Drosophila melanogaster: one gene and its partner. The protein of the gene in region 1 interacts with the protein of each later gene in a biochemical or structural test. Each region holds a gene or a part of one and is shown on either strand. Other genes may lie near its edges.

The links.
Region 2: the proteins of Nak (region 1) and numb form a complex in vitro, tested with the Drosophila melanogaster proteins (3 studies listed by BioGRID).

The regions. Positions count from the first base shown.
Region 1 is NT_033779.5:18,963,581-18,973,062, forward strand, and holds the start of Nak (Numb-associated kinase), read right to left. Parts: upstream 5,165-9,482; 5' UTR 4,836-5,164; coding exon 4,673-4,835; intron 2,010-4,672; coding exon 1,876-2,009; intron 1,813-1,875; coding exon 1,679-1,812; intron 1,604-1,678; coding exon 1,051-1,603; intron 985-1,050; coding exon 413-984; intron 1-412. Other genes in the region: Tango6 (transport and golgi organization 6), read left to right, coding at 5,519-5,579, 5,638-7,839, 7,900-8,402; L2HGDH (L-2-hydroxyglutarate dehydrogenase), read right to left, coding at 8,580-8,967, 9,022-9,482.
Region 2 is NT_033779.5:9,445,804-9,455,199, forward strand, and holds the start of numb (numb), read left to right. Parts: upstream 1-4,026; 5' UTR 4,027-4,578; intron 4,579-4,792; 5' UTR 4,793-4,817; intron 4,818-9,396.

The DNA of each region.
Region 1 (9,482 bases):
GAGATCTTAAGGCTACAATGAATCTATTGACTCTGTGGCTCATCGGCCTCATCCTGGTCACTTGTAGCTCTTAAGGATCGGGAATTCACAGAAAGAGACAAGCAGAGAGTGAGTAAAAGAGCAAGAGAAGAGCAGAACACAGAACACATACAGATCGTGCAGGACCAACGCATTTGGAAATGTCTAACATCAAGAATATTTAAATATTTATGAAACCATATATCTTAATTTTCAGGCTGAAACCTTTGGGGGAAAGCAATTATATTGATTCTGGCCGAGTAAACTTTAAAAACGATAACAAGACACAACTTTTGTGCTTAAACAGGTAACTAAGATAGGAATTAAAATTTGTAGAATCAAAATGTGTATTCTTGATTTTAGATTAGCTTCTGTTTTCTTGTATGCAACTTACTTATTGAAGGCCGAGGTGTCGCTTACGTTACGCCTATGACCACCTCCTCCGCTTGGCTTGGGCGGTGTCAACATGCTCTTGGTGGGCGTGCCTGCAATGACGTTTAAGTCCTGAGGCACTTCCTCCTTGTTAGGTTCTTCTGCTGCTGGTAGAAATTCAGTAGGAATTACTGCTGCAGCTGGCTCATTGAATGGATCTGGATAGCCACTTGACTCGAAGAGTTTACTGGCAGCAGGAGCTGCCGGAGTAACAGCTTGAGGAGGTGGAGGAACAGCAGGTGGCATAGCTGGGAAGTTGGCCTGGAACTGCTCGACCACAGGTTGAGGTTGGGGTTGTGGAGAAGTGATATTCTGTCTTGGCGAGGGACTGGGAGGCAAACCGAGACCCAATGGATTTCCTCCATGTACCGATGAGGAACCCTTAGGACGAGACCGAGGAGCTACACTGGTTCCCGCCTCCACAACTGACACATTCTGAGCCTTCGCCGCCTTGGAGGCCGCTGCACTGATCCTCTTGGCTTCCGATTCAAACGGAGGCACTACCAGTAGGTCGAAGTTTGGAATGGGAGTTTTCTGATTAAAAATAAGCAAACAGATTATCATACAGGAATCTGAACACAAACATTATGCATCACTCACATGGAGATTCTGAACGGGATTATCCTTGCCCGCCAGTCGAAAGGCCACCTCGCAAACTTGCCAAATGTTTGGTCGCTTCTCCATATCGGGTTCCAACATATATTTAATCAGTTGGTGCATGCCCTTCGAGTACTTTGAGGAGTCTGGAATGGAAAACTGTCCATTCTGGATAGCCAAAGTGCTCTCCCCAAATGGCAAGGAAAAGAAGCACAGCTTATAGAGCATGCAACCCAGTGCCCAGATGTCCGCCTTTGTGGTTATGCTCTTGCCCCCGTACAGGTCGATCATCTCGGGAGCCCGATAAGATAGAGTGGTGTACTTTTGGATCTCTTCCTGCACCACGGTGACTCCGTGCTGTTGAGGATTTAACGTCTTGGCCGTTGCCGATCCGAAGTCGCAGAGTACGAAGTTGCCCGCGTCCGTTTGCAGAATGTTCTCCACCTTAAGATCCCGATGGATAATCGGAGTCTGACAATAGTGCAATCGAGAGACAGCCTCGGCAATATCACAGAAGATGTTGAGCACCTCTGGCTCCGTGAAGCCAACGTGCAATCTGTGGCGAATTTCATTGGATTACATTCGAATTCCGCAATCAAATGGACTACATTTTTAGATTCACTTCGTTTACCTCGCATTCATCATGGCCAGCATGTGATGCTTGCAATAGGGCATCAGGAGTAGCACCTCGCACACCCCGTTTCCCGTGGGCGTGATGCTGGAGTCCACATAACCAATGATGTTTTTGTGCCCACTCAGGTTGCTCTGGGGGAGTGAAAGTGATTGCCCTATTAGATTAGGTTTGTTTGTCCCGATTTATTTACTCACCGCAATCTGTATCTCCCGCTTGGCTACGTTCAGATCGTGCTCATTGTTGACGTACATGCGCTTCAGGGCGTACTTGGTCGCCGAGGAACTGCCTCCGCCGTTGCCCCTTGCCAAAAAGACCATGGCGAAACCACCTGCGTGAGTTTTGAAGAGATGGGGAAGAGAAAAACAGAGCATTAGAGCATGGGGTAAGTTGACGGGCTAGACATCCATAACAGCTGTCAGCTGTAAACAACATAGCATATTTGAATGGGGGAGGAAACTGCGAGTAAGCTAAACCCGATGAATACCCTGTTATTGTATATTCATAATACATATATACGAATATTTTATTTTATATGGCAGGAAGTAGCTAATTAATAAACTAATTTGTTTATTAAAAGGAAATATGTGTCACATTTTTATAGCACACGTATCTTTGGCCATTCCTTCCCACATAATTTATGCCATATATCTACGTGATAATAATGGAATTTCTTTACTATAAACATTTCACGTTCACAAATATCCCCCCGTGGTGTTAAAATAGTAGAGGGTACCCGAATTCGAGTGATAGCAGTTACTGTCTGGCCATGGAACGATTTACACATGTTTTGCCTAACAGGCCATTTGCATGAGGTTTATTTCAGTTTATTGCAAATAGAATTTCAAGTAGAATGCCCCCACATTTCAGCCCTCTCCACCTGTCGCTTTACGCCACTTCAAAATGTACGATAAAAAGGCAACGCAATATAAACTAAACTATTGAAGGTCACGTACAGAAATAACAACAATAACATGCGACAATAACAATACTCAGCGGGGGAAGGCGGTGGGGCGGCAAAATAAAAAGATAGGAACAGTGGTCACTAAGAAAAAAACATAAAAATATATATTAGATATAAAATGAAATGATATTAGAAAAAAAAATGATCTCAATACATTAGATGCATAGACGATGCAACGATTAGGAGAATGTTTTAATATTGAAAATATTTATGGAACATTTGCTGTAAATGCACACACCATTTCTCCCTGTGTAGGCGATAGAGAGAAGTGAATAGCGGACCAGCAAATGTAACCATTTTTGCTCGACTTTGTGAAATTATGGCGTCAAATGTTAATCAATGCTGAAGGTTGCAACAGCAACAAATCAACATTGGCAAAAAGTACAGCAACAACATCCAGTAATAATAGTATGAAAAGCAACAATAACAATGCACAATTGTAGCGATGCGAGAAAACGCGAGAAGGCAATTCGAAACGCAAACGAGGGTAGAAAATACGTCTGAAGGGGCGTCAACTGCAAGGTGGGCAGTAAGCGGTTAAGGGTGGGGGCTGAGGGGTTAAGGCGGGAAAGCTTCATTCGTTAACCGTTTGTCGCTTAGTCATTTGTAATTGTTGTTGGCTGCTCAAAAATCGAATCAAAGAAAGCAGGTAAATATTGAAGGTGATTAAGCACAGTGTTACTTTGGAAGTATCCAGCATATCGAGCAGTTTAAACTTGGCTATACGCGCATTTTATTCATTGAGCATCTGCAAAAGACTCTATTTATTTTTTCTCTTTCTTAAATGAAATACCAATAGTTACGTTACTGGATTAAATGAATTAATAAATAATATATAATTTAGTTTATAATTTGTTATACTAATTCAATAACTTTAACCAAATAACCGTGTTCGTCAAACGCTCCGCCTTTTTAATTACAGGGTATGCCCGACAACAGCTGACTAATTGCCAGCGGCGCCAGCGCAGCGCAAAACAAAATTACGAATCGAGTCCGCTTGCCAAAAGTATAAAAAGTAAAAAACACTACGTAATGGCTAAAGGAAAGGTGGCGAATGGCTGGCCAGGCGGTGGGTGAGCAATCGTTAGATGATCAAATGTTGGGCGGAGGGTACTGGTGCCAGGCCAACAAGGAGGCACTTGCACTGCAGGATGATGTGGAGTGGAGCACTCCGCATTTCAAGGACAAGGACACAGCACAGGCGATTTCCTTAGGGGCGAACTTTGCCATTTAGCTCGGCGAAAGGTGAAAAACGGAAGACTGTCGGAGACAGTCGGCTGATGAGTGTTGGTCTTGCCGCTTCATTGGCTAAATTAACATAATTGATTCAATTGATTTGTGGCCATGTGTAGTGGCTACGGGAATTCAATGGGTATTCCATGGAAAAACCAACCAGAACCGTAACTGTGTTTGTACAGTCGGGTTTCTCTAACGCGGACACCCATTTGTCACAATAGAAATGCTGGCATTTCTGGTTTTGGCAAAAATAAACTCTTTAAAGACTGACATAAATTTGGACGAAATATCTGCACGCCATTAGAGAGCCGAGTTATGGACATAAATATGTAGTTCTATGCCAAGGGCAAAATTGCAGTTCAATTAGTTGGAATTTAGGTTACAAACCAGTATTTAGTATTCATAATTAATGAAATAATTTAAAATGTTTTACAGTTTTATTAAAAGATAATATATCAAAGTCAGATTTTAGCTGTTTTGAGTTTAACATCTTATACAGAAATTATTGGGAGTAATTTATTTGGATTTAATCGGAAATGCGACAAGTGGTGTCCCCAATTATGGAGGATACGCAGCTGATTTTTATGCTCTCTAGCGCTTTGAGTACGCCCCACATTTGGGAGTTCTCGCGCTGAAGGGGTTTATCTAATCTGTGACGAGGGGCGAGACCGAAAAGCGGACGGCAGGCTACTGCCCACCTGTAAATCAGGCAGGTGATAAGCATAATCGCGGGCGACGTGTTGTAGGTAGGGGAATGGGAGCACATATATAAGAGTGTATATATAGTCGTCTACCTTCTGCCAGGACATCCTCCACGGTGACCGTGACGCGTCCCACTGTGAAGACCTTGCCCACGAAGCTGTTCTTCTCGTTCGAGGACGACGAGCTGCTGCTGTTGGGCGGATTCTCCAGTCGAGAGTTCTCATTGCGCTCGAACTTAGACAGGATTTTCTTCATTTTCCCCCGATTTTCACTAGAAAATGTTTACTGCCCCAGCAGCACAACACACACACACACACTCGCGAGCACACACGCACACTAGCTAACACGGTCTTAATTGCCTGCGCGTAGGTGTTTTTGGCAATTTTTAATTTTGCGAGGGCGGCTGACGGTGGGCGGGGCGTCGGTGCCGCTGGCCAATTAATCCACTTTCGAGTCGTATCGGCTAGCTGAATAAAGCTATTCTGCGCACTTTGTGTTTTTGCATGCACACACACAATGCAGTGGAAAAAGAAAGTTGTTCGATTTTCCTGCTGCTCTCGAGTTGTTGGGCCAGTGTGACCAGGGCGCTTTGCTGCAGTCAGATGCGCAACCCGCGGCTGGTGCAGCCGCCTATCGATATATAGATAAGTTGGTTGCAATCTCGAAATTCTGAAAACAAGGAAATCCCCGTTTACAAAATAGGTTTTATGATAACAATTTTTTGTAATTTGATCCAATTTAAAAAGATAATATGGTTCTACTTTCAATAAAACATATAGCTACAGTTGCATTAAACTATCGCGCAGTTTTAATTAGCTATGCTGCCAACATCGTGTTTCCCTTATCAATATGTTATCGATTGTGCTGGTGCAATTGTAAACAAGCATCTCTAGCAAATGGTCGCTAAATTCGCAAAATTGTAGTTTGCTGGGATAACAATGATAAATACGGCCAAGTACTTTGCTCTTCTAGAGAGTTTAAGGTTTAGTAAAGCTCTAGGTAAATTGGTTAACATCATATAATAATTGTAGTATCCCTAATACTAATATTTCGACAGCAAATACGGCGAATAACTCAGGGACTGCCGAAGCCTTGGAAATCAACCTGCGAATTTTGGAAAAATATGCTAAACTCGAGATTGGTCAGCAATTGCATGAGCTGTGCCTGGAATATCAGTTAACAGACGATCACGAATCTAGTATTGATCCCGATTCGGATCGTACTATATGCTATATAATAAGATTGCAACATGTGCTACATTCGATCATGAGGAACATTAATTTCCACAGCGACGCCAAGGAGGATCTTATTTCGGTAGCGCACCTGAAATTGTGTATCCAGGCTTCCCAAGAATTATCATATTACTCGCTTCGATGCCAGCTACATGAGGATTTCTACAAGTCGCCCATCTTTTGTGAGGCTCAGGGGAAAATCAAAGCTAACTTTTCATTGATGCTTCTAAGCATTCAGTTCTTTATTAATCTACTGCATATTCGACAATACCACATAGCCAACTCGATGGAGCTGGTGCAAAGGGATCTACTGGCGGCCATTGTGAGTCTACGTGTGCAGCAAGACTCTCCACTGCTGGATAAGGCTATAGCCTACCTCTGGCAATATGAATCCAAAGCAGATTTCTTTCGCAACATCTTGCTTTTTAAAGCTACGACTCTCTGCCCAACTCTGGCCCAATTATTGCACCGTCAACTCTTAGGAAAGCTTCACTTACCCCAAGGATTTGCTAGTCTTGTTGAGGCCCTGCATCAAAATCCCAATGTGAATTCTTCCAGAAATGCGGAAATTGTGGCTAGTATTGTGGCCAGAAAAGGATTTTCTCAGTTAGCGCAAGAGAAGATGGTTCTCCAGGTGCTAGAATATTGTAAGTTCTATCTGCAGAATGCGGACAAAATGTGCGCCGGTGTCCTATCGCTCAGAAGACTTTACGATTTAAGTGATACAAATCAAAAGCTGATAAAAGAAATATTATTCAAACACTGGGAAACGCTTTGTAACCCAGAAGACATTATTAATGGCCTTATCTTAATGGATCACCAGGAACTGTGCAATCGCATTCTCTTATGGCAGCATCTCTTTTGTTCTTCAACCGTAGCTTGCTTACCCAGTAATCTACTCGTTCCCTACCTTCCTTTGCTGCTCCAACTCTACGATGGCCTTCCAATGGAATTACCGGCGTCATCGCAGATTTCTGCCATTATTTTGCGTTGTCTGGACAACAGAGAAATGAAAAACGAATTACCTGCGATACTCCAGAAGCTGTTTAAATGGGAAATTGAGAAGGAACCTCCTTGGAAGTGTTTAAACCCACGCATTATAATCCTGCCTTCCATGAACACAACTCAAATTCAGGTTAAAGTAGCTCACAAAGATCATCTAGCAGATCACGATATGGGCAGAATATTGCCCGGTCTACTCACATCAAGCTCTCATCATTCCCTCACCTGCAAAGTTTTCCTCTCTCTTCTGGGCTTCATAGCTAAACAGATAAATGATAAATCTTCAGCCAGCGTAGATTTTATTTCATCAGAAGCAGAGCTCAAAGACTTTCTGCACTCCAAATATCAACTGAAGCTAGATTTGCTCATTGCTTTAAACCAAATGGTAGCCCACCAACCATTAAGAGCTCAGCTATCACAACATACCAAGGAGCTTCTACATATACTAAAAGACTTGCTTGTCCACCGATCTAGAGAGCAAGATACCACGGATCAGATCCTACTTCTCGTTCTAAACCTCTTGCAGGAAATTCTTGAGGGCAGTGAGAATATTCAACTTTCAGAGGCCTGTAAGGAACTGAAAGAACAATTGCACCTGTTGGGTACTCGATCTTCCAACCCTCTTATCCAGCAATCTGTAAAATCATTGCTTACAATAATTCACGGCGCATGGCGACCAAGTGAGGCTGTTAAAATACAACCTTTTCAAAGAGCTCGGTCCTTGATAGAGGAAAAACAATCCCACATGCAAGTGTATGGAATTCAGATGATGATTGATTTGCTGAAAAAAAGAGATCCTGCTACCTTAGCGCAGGGTCAACTTATCATAGCGTTAGCCCTGACCACTCTCAAGGATAAGGAATCCTACACCTTCTTAAATTGTGTTCGGCTCTTTGTGTCGCTTGTTCATGTGATGGAGTCCGATGTGCTGGACAAATTGAGTGATGAGTACCTATCAGAGACGGCTCACTTAGACTACCGCCTCGTAGTGGGTGAAGCTATTCTGAAAGTCGCTCAGGAGTTGGGTAAGCAATGTTCTACACAGCTAAGAATAACTCCTAAACTTTCATACTAATCCCATCCAGGTCCTCTTTGCTTTCGATACAAGGCTGTTCTTCTCAACTGCTTCATGTACGGCTCCCGGTCTCCTGTTCACGAATTCCGGATGTCAGCCTTTGCCAATCTTGCCCAGCTTTGTCGCCTTTTGGCCTTTCAAGTGCAGAACTTCTTCCACGAGTTACTCCAACTTGTTAATAGCGAATTAACCACCGGAGGATATGTTCCCTCTAAGCGTGCAGCAGTCCTGGTCTTAGCTGAACTATTAAACGGCATGGAGAACCTTCTGGATTACCAGGAAATGTTACTCCCCATTTATCGCCTTTTAAAAGCGATTGAAGCGGATGAATCCTGTGATCCTCAAATGCGTCAGCATGCTGCAAACGGTCTGAAAATTTTAAACAAAAAGTGCACAAAACTGATACAATCTGCCTTGGAGGAGAAATCATTACAGAAGCAGATTAAGGTGTTGGGCATTAAGGACGATGATTCACCTCAAAGAAGAAACCGACATATACTGGAACTGAATTAAAGGCTATCTTAGAAACCTACACAAGTTTTAATTTTGTTTTATACACAATAGATCAATATTACAGTTTCGAAAAGAAATGCGATAGTGGCGAATCAGTACAGACATTACTGACATAAAGGCAGAACAGAAAATAGGACTTAGTTTTGGACTTTGGTTACATTATTTGGGATAGAGGCATCACTTGCCGATAGAGAACTCATTCTCGATCTTGTCTGCGATCATCTTGGCAATGGCCAAGCTACTAGTAGCGCCCGGCGATGGGGCGTTTCTGCAGTGAAGCACTCGCTTGGCTAGCGCTCCCGATCCTTGTCCGCGATCGAAAACAAAATCGTCCACCAGATTGCCATCCAGATCCATTGCTTGGGCACGTACTCCAGCGGGACCACGCTGGATATCGTACTCCGTAATATCCGGGATGTACTTCTGCAACGCCTTGATCTGCAGGTTAATGAACCACGATTTGGACATCTCGCTGAGTCCGAAACCGATGTACTTGCTCGCCATCTTTACGAAGCCCGGATAGCGCAGGGCGTCGAAAAGCTCGAAAAGATTAATGTCACCCCAGCTGGAAGAAGTGAAGTGTCAGACAAGTTTAAATATGAGCTCTAAGAAGACTTACGTGTAACCTTCGCGTTTCAGAGCCAGAACGGCATTTGGTCCCAGCCAGATAGATCCGTCCATTCGCGGCGTAAAGTGAACTCCCAGGAAGGGGAAACGTGGATCCGGCACCGGATAAATATTACCCTTGACCATATGCTGTTTTTCCTTGGTCAGCAGCAGATACTCTCCACGGAAAGGCACGATGCGGGGGTCTCTGGGGCATCCAGTCTTCTCAGCCAGCAGGTCGGATTGCAAACCGCCACAGGTTAATACGTTCTTGGTACGAACCGTTTGACCGGGCTTAGCGCCATGGATGGTCACTGGGTAGTCGGTGCCCTCCTTGGTCTCGGTAAACTTGCTGACATTGAAGTCCAGGTAGATATCACCACCGCACTGTTTGAAATCCTGACCATAATGCTCGGTAACCAATCCCCAGTCAACGATACCAGTGTGCGGACTGTGGAGCGCCATCACTCCCTG
Region 2 (9,396 bases), 9.5 Mb from region 1:
GGTATTTATTCTATATTTTTATTGCAATCCTCTATTTATGGCCTCTAATCCGTTAAATGCTTTTTAATTGCATCTGCAACCTTATCCCGGGGACACTTGAAAATTTCAGTTCGCATCGGCAGGGAAAAGTGGGCGGGCTAGGGGCAGAAAATATAGTTTGAAAAGAGGGTGGTTGAGAGGGCGTGAGCAACCCCAGGCTAATTGGTTGGGCGTGAAATTTGTGAGTTTAATTTTTTAGGACTCGGTTAGCTGTCAACCCCTGAAAAATTAAGGACCCCTACAATTTGGCACTGTGGGAGACGAAATTGATAAAGAACCGAGATGCAATCAGCCAAAGTAAACCACTTTTTATCGGCTTAAAATAACATTGGTTAGAAAGTCCGCCAAAGCAAAAAAAAAAAATATCCATAAGATAAATAAGTAGGGTTACAATTAAACGAATTTAATTTTTAATTTTATGATGTCTTTAACCTAAAATAATATACTTGAGTAATGATGAGTGTGACAATAATGGTGTTTTTTGTTTTTTTCCATATATGTATGTATGTAGTATTATTTACTAAATTGTATCTTTAAAAATAAATGTATGGCAATAGGAAGAAGAATTTGATATACAAAATCTTTTTTAAACACAATTAATTCCTATAAGCGTACATACCTTGTGATACTTTATATCCTCAGTGCAATAACTTTAAATCACTTTAAGCTTCAGTTCATTCAACCGCAAGCCGAGCTTAGCATTAACAAAAAGCTCTTTCACCTGCCCGACAAAGCTTTTAAGCCCTCGAGCCACTCAAGTTTTGCGGCTCAGCTCGGCGACGTCTCAAGAACGTACTCAAGAAACGCTCATAAGCAATAGGCTAAAAGAACACATTTACTTGGCCAAACACATACATAGACATACACACATGCAGTTTTAAATTAAAAACAAATTGCGAACACGAGACAAAATATGTTAGAGCTGTCATGACCCTAATGACCGTGGGAACTTTTTTATAAACGTCACTGACATTGTCAGCTGAGTGCCCAAGTGTGAATGTGCATGCATTGGGTGTAAGCAGGCTCTTAAGTTTCTTTTAAGAGAGACTTGAGTTCAAGCATTGCCAGATTAAAAACATTTTTAAAATTTTGTAACGGAAACAGCAGCTTAAATAATAACTTTAATAACTGCTTTAATACTCTATTTATAATAAAGAATATTTTTTTCATTTCAGCTTTTTCAAGGCACCTTAAACTAATACAAGGTAAGCAATTTCAAATATTTTTTTCAACGAGAGAGAGAGAACGAAACAACAAACAAGTTTTTTTCCGTAATATATTTTTAACAATTTTTCCTAAACCCAAAATGGAATTAAATCATCACAGTTAATATACAAACCTTTAAAAAATCACAAAAACTAAATTACCTTGAATCTTGATTATCAAAACATTGGGTTAATCGATTATTCATCACCCCCTTCGAATTGTCGCAAAATTATTTCAATTATTGCCCAACAATTGATTTGTTAATCTTCTTGTCTGCAAATGGAAATCCTTAACAATTGACCCAGCAATTTGTATGAGTAATTGGCTTCTTAATCGCAATTACAGGCCAGATTGGGTTCAATTCGAGTGAATTGATTCGGTTTGGATTACTCATGCCAACGTATTAGACTGTGTTTGAGCGTATTTGTTGCCATTTGTTGTGAGCCTTTCATTGCGGCATTTTGCGCATTTTGATTGAAATTTTGATTAGGTTGCACATGTGGCTTTTGTCTGCCCCGCAGCTCCATTGACTGACATTGATTTCTCAGCTTATGGCCATTTCCCTATTTCTATGCTTCCCTATGCTTCTTCCGTTTTCCCCTTTCCCCCATTGTCTGGCATTATCTTTTGTCGGTTCATACCAGCGGAGCTGGAATTATTTGTCTGCGACGGGAGGTGGGTGGGTTGTCTGGGATCTGGGGTCTCCTCATTCAGTGCTAGCTGTTTTCATTATGGTTTATCTAAAAGTGTCGAGTAATGTCTGTAATGGCTTTAACACATTTAACACACGGAAAAAGGCATAACCGTCTTTAATTTTAACGTAATGGAGTCAAATGATAATGGACATAAGCTTTATATAACTAACATCTTCTCGTGTTTTGAGTAAATCAATTCATAAGTATGCACTTATTATGGTTAATTTTGATTTTATTACTTTTTGAATAACTTATCCCAAGCTCGAAAAAGTTTGAAAATTTTATGTCATCTTTTAATGAAATTTGGAAATATTTGTATTATTAAATGATAGCAATAAGAATTTACATTTTTTCTGAGTGCAAGTCTGCTTTTTTCATCAGTTGCAGCACTTTGTTTTTTCTGCATTTAAATTGCGATAATGTTGGCGCGATTGGGTGCCATGTGTAGGTAGCAATGGTTTGCTCCCAATAGTTTTGATACCATTCTTTTTACTACCTGATTTTATGGGCTACCTGGATTAAAGTCGCTGCTGCATTGCAATTTTTCGCACGTTTCATTGCTGAAAACTCTCTTATTATCTATATGTATGACTGTCTCACGCGCACATTTGGGTATTTATCTTTCGGAGTTATCTATGTTTCTCTTAGGGTACAATTTTCTCTTAAAGAGCGAACGACCTTGCATCGCGCGCTCTTTTGTTCTACGGTTTCGATCGATCATTTTGCCATTGTTGTCACGGAATTTAGGTTGGGCAACTAATTCAAATCGATAAGTTCAATACATTGATTACCGAGCCTTGATTATTGTTCAGTTAATCAGTTTTTATTCTTTTCATTTGTTTTGTATGTCCGTTGGGATTTCATAACCACCTAGCCATCTTTTGCATTTTGTTAATAGCTAAGTCTTTGGTAACTCTCTTTGATGACTCTCTTGAGTGCCATAATCATTTCCATTCAAACCAAACCACTCGCTCTTCATACTCCATGTGGAAAAAACTGGCAGCTGCAGAACCAACGAAACCAACTGGTTTTGAATGCCCTTCTATCACTTCAATGGGGTATCTCAAATCCTGATTTCGAAGACAAAAAAATTTTCGGGATTAGTAATTTTTATTACGCAAGTTTTTAAAGATAACATCCTTAAAACTTGTAATTTTTACACCCGTGCAAAATTCATAATTTATTTTACAAAGTTTCCAAGAATTTGAGCGCTGCTAAAGAAAGACGACTAAAGACAATTCCGAACTTTAAATCCAAGGCGTATGGGTTAGCGATAAATCTGAGAGCCAGAGATATTACAAAACAATAAGAGGACCTTTTTGAACTACCCGGCTTTGTAATTATCTTAGCACTGGCCCATTTGGGAAATTCCCAGAGTTAAATAATAAAATTGAGCTCGTGTTTTCCAAGAATTTTCTCAACTTATCCCAACCGCAAATCTTTTAAGCCACGGTCACCAAATCGCGATCTCTAAATGCAGCGCATCTGAGATTATACCTGGCCGAGATACCTTAAACGCCACTCTCGCTCGCTCAACTTCTGCTATCTCACTCCCACTCTTGAAAACCTACAAGCTGCAGAAACGCGTCGCAGTTTTATCATTATCACAACAAATACAAACGCAGCAGAGCGGAGGTGAGATGGAAGAAGCAAAACGACGTCGTCGTTGGTAGTAAATAAACACAATGGAACTGAGCAAATCCACAAACGTACTGGTGCACTGAAAAAATCACTTTAAAGTTTTAAGAGGACTTAACAACTTGTAATATAATAAATAAAATAAAACACTATGATAATAATGGCTTAATAGGTTGTATTAAAAGCGCGTAATAGAATAAGGCAATACCCTTTGATGACGACCTTTTCCAAATCGATAGAAAAGTAGTAAGATCACTCTTCCCTCAAAGTGATCTTAACACCACATTTAGTTGAAATCAGGGCCAATTTGTTCGATTTTTCTCAGTGCACACACACACAGGCCGAAACACCCTGTAACAGCTGTCGCTCTCTTCCGCTCTTTGCACGCTCGCACTCTTTCCTCTCGACTCAAACAGCGCTGAGCGTGCGGCCAGAGTCAGCCAGTACAGTAGAGCAATTTGAGCCGCCGCATCGAGCTAACCGCTTACCGCTTGCCGGACAAACGCGTTCCGTTTTCCCTCCGCTTCCATTCGCTTTCGGCCCACTGTCGTCGTCGGTTGTCCAAATGTCCGCGTAGGGATAGTGTAACCTTTTTCCAATTTCCGGGGGGGTCATAGTAAAAAAGTTAACACCTAAGTAGTCCAGGCCTTTTGGGCCAAGCCGATCCCAGCCATCCATTTACCGGGCACCGGGCTCTTAACACGGGGATCGTTTTAATCGGTGTCGCGTTGTCGTTATTTCGGTTTTTCGCGATTTTCCCCACATTCCGTGTGCTGTGTGCTGTGCGAGGTGTTCTTGGAATTAATAAATAGTTAAAACCGAAACGTTGGCAAAAATCCACTGAATGAGCAAGAAAGTTATATAAGGCCCGAACCGGATTTATTTATTAATTATACATACGAATGTGATCAAAACAAAAACAGACTGACAACAAAACTCGGCTTTTTGGAATATACCAAAAAAAGCAACTCAAATACAAACCGATCCCGATATATATATGGTAAATGTTTAAAACCAAAAAAAAAAAAAAAACAGTAACAACAGCCAAAGTTGAGCTTAACTTGAGCTTCGGATTTAAAGCCAAGTCAAAACGAGTTTATTGTGGTGCAAAATCAGATTTGCATATACATATGCAATTCTTTTACAGCTTTACGCTAGTTGTTGCTGCTTTGACATTTGTAAAAACATAATATTCATTTTTGTAATAATTCCAGTTTTTGACGTCTTCAATATGCATTGGTATAGAAAACTAAAAACAGCTGTTCAAACTATGTAACACTATACTAGACTTTGCTTCGCAATAAGCTAAAGTATTCAAAATACGTTTTGGGGCATTAATTTTAATAATCAGGGGGAGTATATCCATTAAGGTTATAGCGATACCAGTAATTTAGAATGAATTACCCAGCTAAAAAACTCAATAAATCTTTGCAGTTTGCACTTGAACATAGCAATTGTTGAGAGAGGGTTAACAAATGAAATATATAAACACAATTAGCAATTAGCTGATTTTGGCTGGATCACATGAACGCACATACATACATACGCACATACGTACATATATATCTAAAAAGTTACGATTGACTGGATTCTACTGGTCTCCAGTCTCTCACGTTTCCGAAGATGAATCATTTGGCATGACTACAACTCTTCGAATCGATCGTATATAAAGACTATTTAGACTATTTCAAATATAGTCCCACATTTCAGTTTAAAATCCAATGAATTTCTGCCGAAGCATGCACATATTCTTACCACAAACTCTTCTCCCAGCTCTTTTGTAAAGTTAATTTATTTTAATGTATACTGTGTGCCAAATTATTTGACTGTCAACTGCATAAATTACTGCGATAACAAACAAAACGAAGAAAAAAAAGAAAAGTGGCAAAGGCAAAATGGAAAATGGGGAAAATTTCCCATTGAAATGAGTAATGAATTGGTTTGGGGCGGCTGAGAACGAAACCAACCGAGAGTGGGTGAAAATATATTATAATAACAGTGTAATTAAATGCCAACTTGGCCCCCGCTTTCGCCAGAAGAGAGTTTTTTGCAGCCGCAAACTATGGGATACTTTTGCTTTGCATAATTATGCTGTTCAACTTGATTTACTCGGAATGTTCTTCAAGATCTTGAGTTTCCACCAAAAGGGCTCCCTGATTTATGCTGCACTTTTTTCTTTTTTTTTTGGTAGCAATGCTTTGCAGCCTGGTCAGATTATAAATCTCAGCAGTTCATAAAAACTTCAGGCAAAAAGCTCCAGCAAAAACCATTCAGAAACATTCCAAGAAAAGCCAGAAACACGAACGAAAAAAAAAACTGGTAACAAGCCGAGGAAAAAAGTAAGAACATAATGCTACCTGGGTGCAGTTGGACTTGAGTTAAGCCAACTCTGGGATGGTGGAGCCGCGTCGAATGGAACCGGTTTGGTGGCTGGCTGGCAGCCAGCCGACTCCAACTTTTCTCACATGCCTTTCGATTATGCCAAGTCGACTGCATTCTTCGAGACGCGGCTTTCGCTAAACGTTTGGCTAAGACCGAGCTCTCAGCTCTCAGCTCCAAGCTCCAGCGCCCCATCCTCGAGCTCCATCCCATCGCTCTGCAAGTTCAACACTCAGTCGAGGAGTTAGACCTCAACTTCAACTTCAACTTGATCGCTGCCTCGGCTGTGGCTGCATAAAACTTTAATTTCATGGAATTTCCTTTCTATTTTTATGCTGCAACGCCGATGATTAACAACAGCAGCAGCAGCCAGCCAGCCAACTGCCAACAAAGAGAGACGTTGGACAAGTCAAGAACACGGGAACAAGTCCAAGACCAAGTCTAACTCCAAGTCATGGCTGCCAGCTAGAACTTCAACTTCTGGGCCATTAACTTAGCTCTGGAGACGGGACACAGCGGGCATGTGGCACCTGGCATTCTACATCTAAGGCAGGAAATTAAAAATGCAAAAAATTGGATAATTATGCATGTAAACGTTTTGTCATTAAGTTGATACTTAAATGCTGCGTCGATTAACAGGCAGATTTTAATAGAAAATAACGCTATTAAATCGGCCTAGAAGACACGGGGATTCCTTTAGGTGTCCCCACTTGTATTTCTTTTATAAAAACCACTTGCAATTGCTTTGAAAGTCTGCAAAAAATTACAATTATGAACCTTAAAGGGTATTAGAGAGTTTGTAACTTTTTGTTTATACTTGGCATTTTTCTTGCCTGCCAATAGCTAACTAGCCGTAAAGCTGAACAGCAAACATTTCGCATTAATGCCAAAAACTTTTCTCGCCTCTCGAAGACCCGACTAAGTCGACACGCCAACTTGGTAATAACTTGGCCTTGGCTTGGCTAAGTTGGCCAAAGCCGCAGCGCCTTAAGAATGTCAAAGGGCATGCTTGGATATGATTACGAGAATTTCCGTTCCTAGCTCCTTTTTTATTGCCTTTAATGAGCCAGTTCAATTTCCGGTCTGTCAGCTGGTTGTGCGCTGATAAAGGATTAATCTTATATAGAAACTATAGTTTGTCAAATTGTGTATGTAATTACTTTAGCTCTGATATAAAATTCTATTGAAATAGAACGTTTATTTACCTATGCCAAATTCTTATATGTAACCCAAATACCGTGACACACCTGTTCGCCTGGCTTATTAGGCAAATAGGGGACTATTTGCGCCAGTATTACTGCGCCCCCACAAAAAACACTAGGATGGCTTCTTTTGGCAAGTATATGGGTTGTTTGTTTAGTTTCCTATCGATTATTTTCATTGGGTATTTGCACTGCCTACTTTTGGGCGCCTGGCACCCGGAAATTGCTAAACCAATTGGCCAACAGCTGTTTTGTGTGATGTCTATTTGCCTGGCGTCGACAGAAGACGAGCGTTGACAATTGGAACAGAGAAAACTAACGTGGTTACACTTTTGTGCGCCATAAAATTGATTTGACTCTCCTCCTCCTTCCCCCTTTTGACGACGAAACTATGACAATCAGAGCAGAGAATGCCACTGGAAAATAGCGGGAGACAACCGTTTGGAAAATCGTCAGGCTTGGCTGACTTTCCATCGCCTCGAATTTTGGACCACTTTGCCTCCGCGACGACCTTTGCCGCCATAAATCGGTTGGATAATCGTCTAAACTTAGCAGTTATCTAAACATAGTTGCTGGTGATGTCACGTAACTTTCCACAAAACTTGTAAGCAAACAAATTCTCCTGTTGTTTTGCTTATCGCAAAGTCACATTTTGAAAAATCCCTTTCCCATTTTAAAACTGTCAGATAAAAAAGAGCTCTTTAGCCAGTTTTACGTTTGCTTCTGTCTGGGAAAGAAAAATATTACATCTTGTGTACTTTGATTACACGACGTTTGCTGGAGATCAACATTTGGATAAATACTTAGGAAATTAAACTACTAGTGCCTTTAAAAATCTTGTTTTGTAATCTAATATATTTTTCTGTCACATCGAAGCATTTGTATCAAGTTTCCAGGGTCATTACAAATTCAGTATAAGGATTGAATAAATTCAAATAAGCTTTGGTTTGGCTATTGTCTTAGGAATTTGTTTTCAACGCATTATACATTCTTGTGCATATTAAATTAGTTCTTAGTATTCCCCAGTGATTTTCCTCTACGATTTTCCCTCGCTTTATGAGTTATGAATGCGTAATGGTAAATGTGCCTTGGATGAATGATTGGTTGTTGAAAATTTCTCTGTGTTTCTCACCTTTGGTCTTCATTTCTTCATTGAATTGCATATTTTAATGGCTATAACGTGTCGCACGGCTCGGAAACAGGTTCCCCGAAAAATTCGGTTAACTTTTGTTAAGTTTGCCACAGCGCGTTGAGTCATTGAAATATTTATTTGCATAATGAGTGTAAACAGAAAGCTTGTAAGCGTGGTTCGCAGAAACAAAATCGTACGCTCACAAAAGTGGCTAAAGTCGAATGTAATTACCGTCGCATCTGCCGGCTGGCGAGCAAACAAAGGATAACAAGGATCTTCGATCGTCCTGTTGAGACACGAACCAAACGATTCCGTTTACCTGGAAATTCGGAAATCGTAGCAAATCGAAGTCACTATGCTGAGAACAGACGGCGGCATGTGCGCGAGTCCGAGTACCCACTTAACCAGAGAATCCTTCGAGAATCCTTCGCCACGTGCACCGAGCCATATGGCAGGATCCTGGTAAAAGGTGCGAAAGAGACAGAAAGCCGAACAACAACTGCCGGCAGGGGCTGCATTCGTTTCAAACGACAGATGCAAACTATTTCGAAGTTGTTCGAATTGTGACCCGCTTGCATGTCTCGTGTTCGCCAGGACAGAACACTTCTTATAAGGTATATTATGTATGGATGTATGGATGGTACATATACTACCTACCTCCACTCCACAAACTCACATGTGTATAGCTCGCAGGCGTGCCTATTGTTTTTATTTTTTCTGTGCCTGCATTTCTACTTCCGTTCGTCGGGTTTTTGAGGTTTCTCTCAAGTGTTTTTGTGCTGGAAATGCTCGTATTGGAGTTTGTTTTGTTAAAGGATGTGGTGGAACAGTTAGGATTGTATGTATACATATTCCACATATCGATTTCCCAATTTCATGTACTCTGATAAGGATAAACTTGTACATAAATGCACTTTTAGAGATGCATTTCTGTCTTTCTTTTTTATTAACAATAATAATAGAATTTGTACCAGACAGTCGCATTTATTTTCTAATATTTGCATCCTGCCAGCATCCCTAGTCACCTTTTTTTTTCTCACACTTACCTTTTCCCACACCCCCCGCCAATTTTTCGATAATTCCCATATAGAACCATATATGGCAG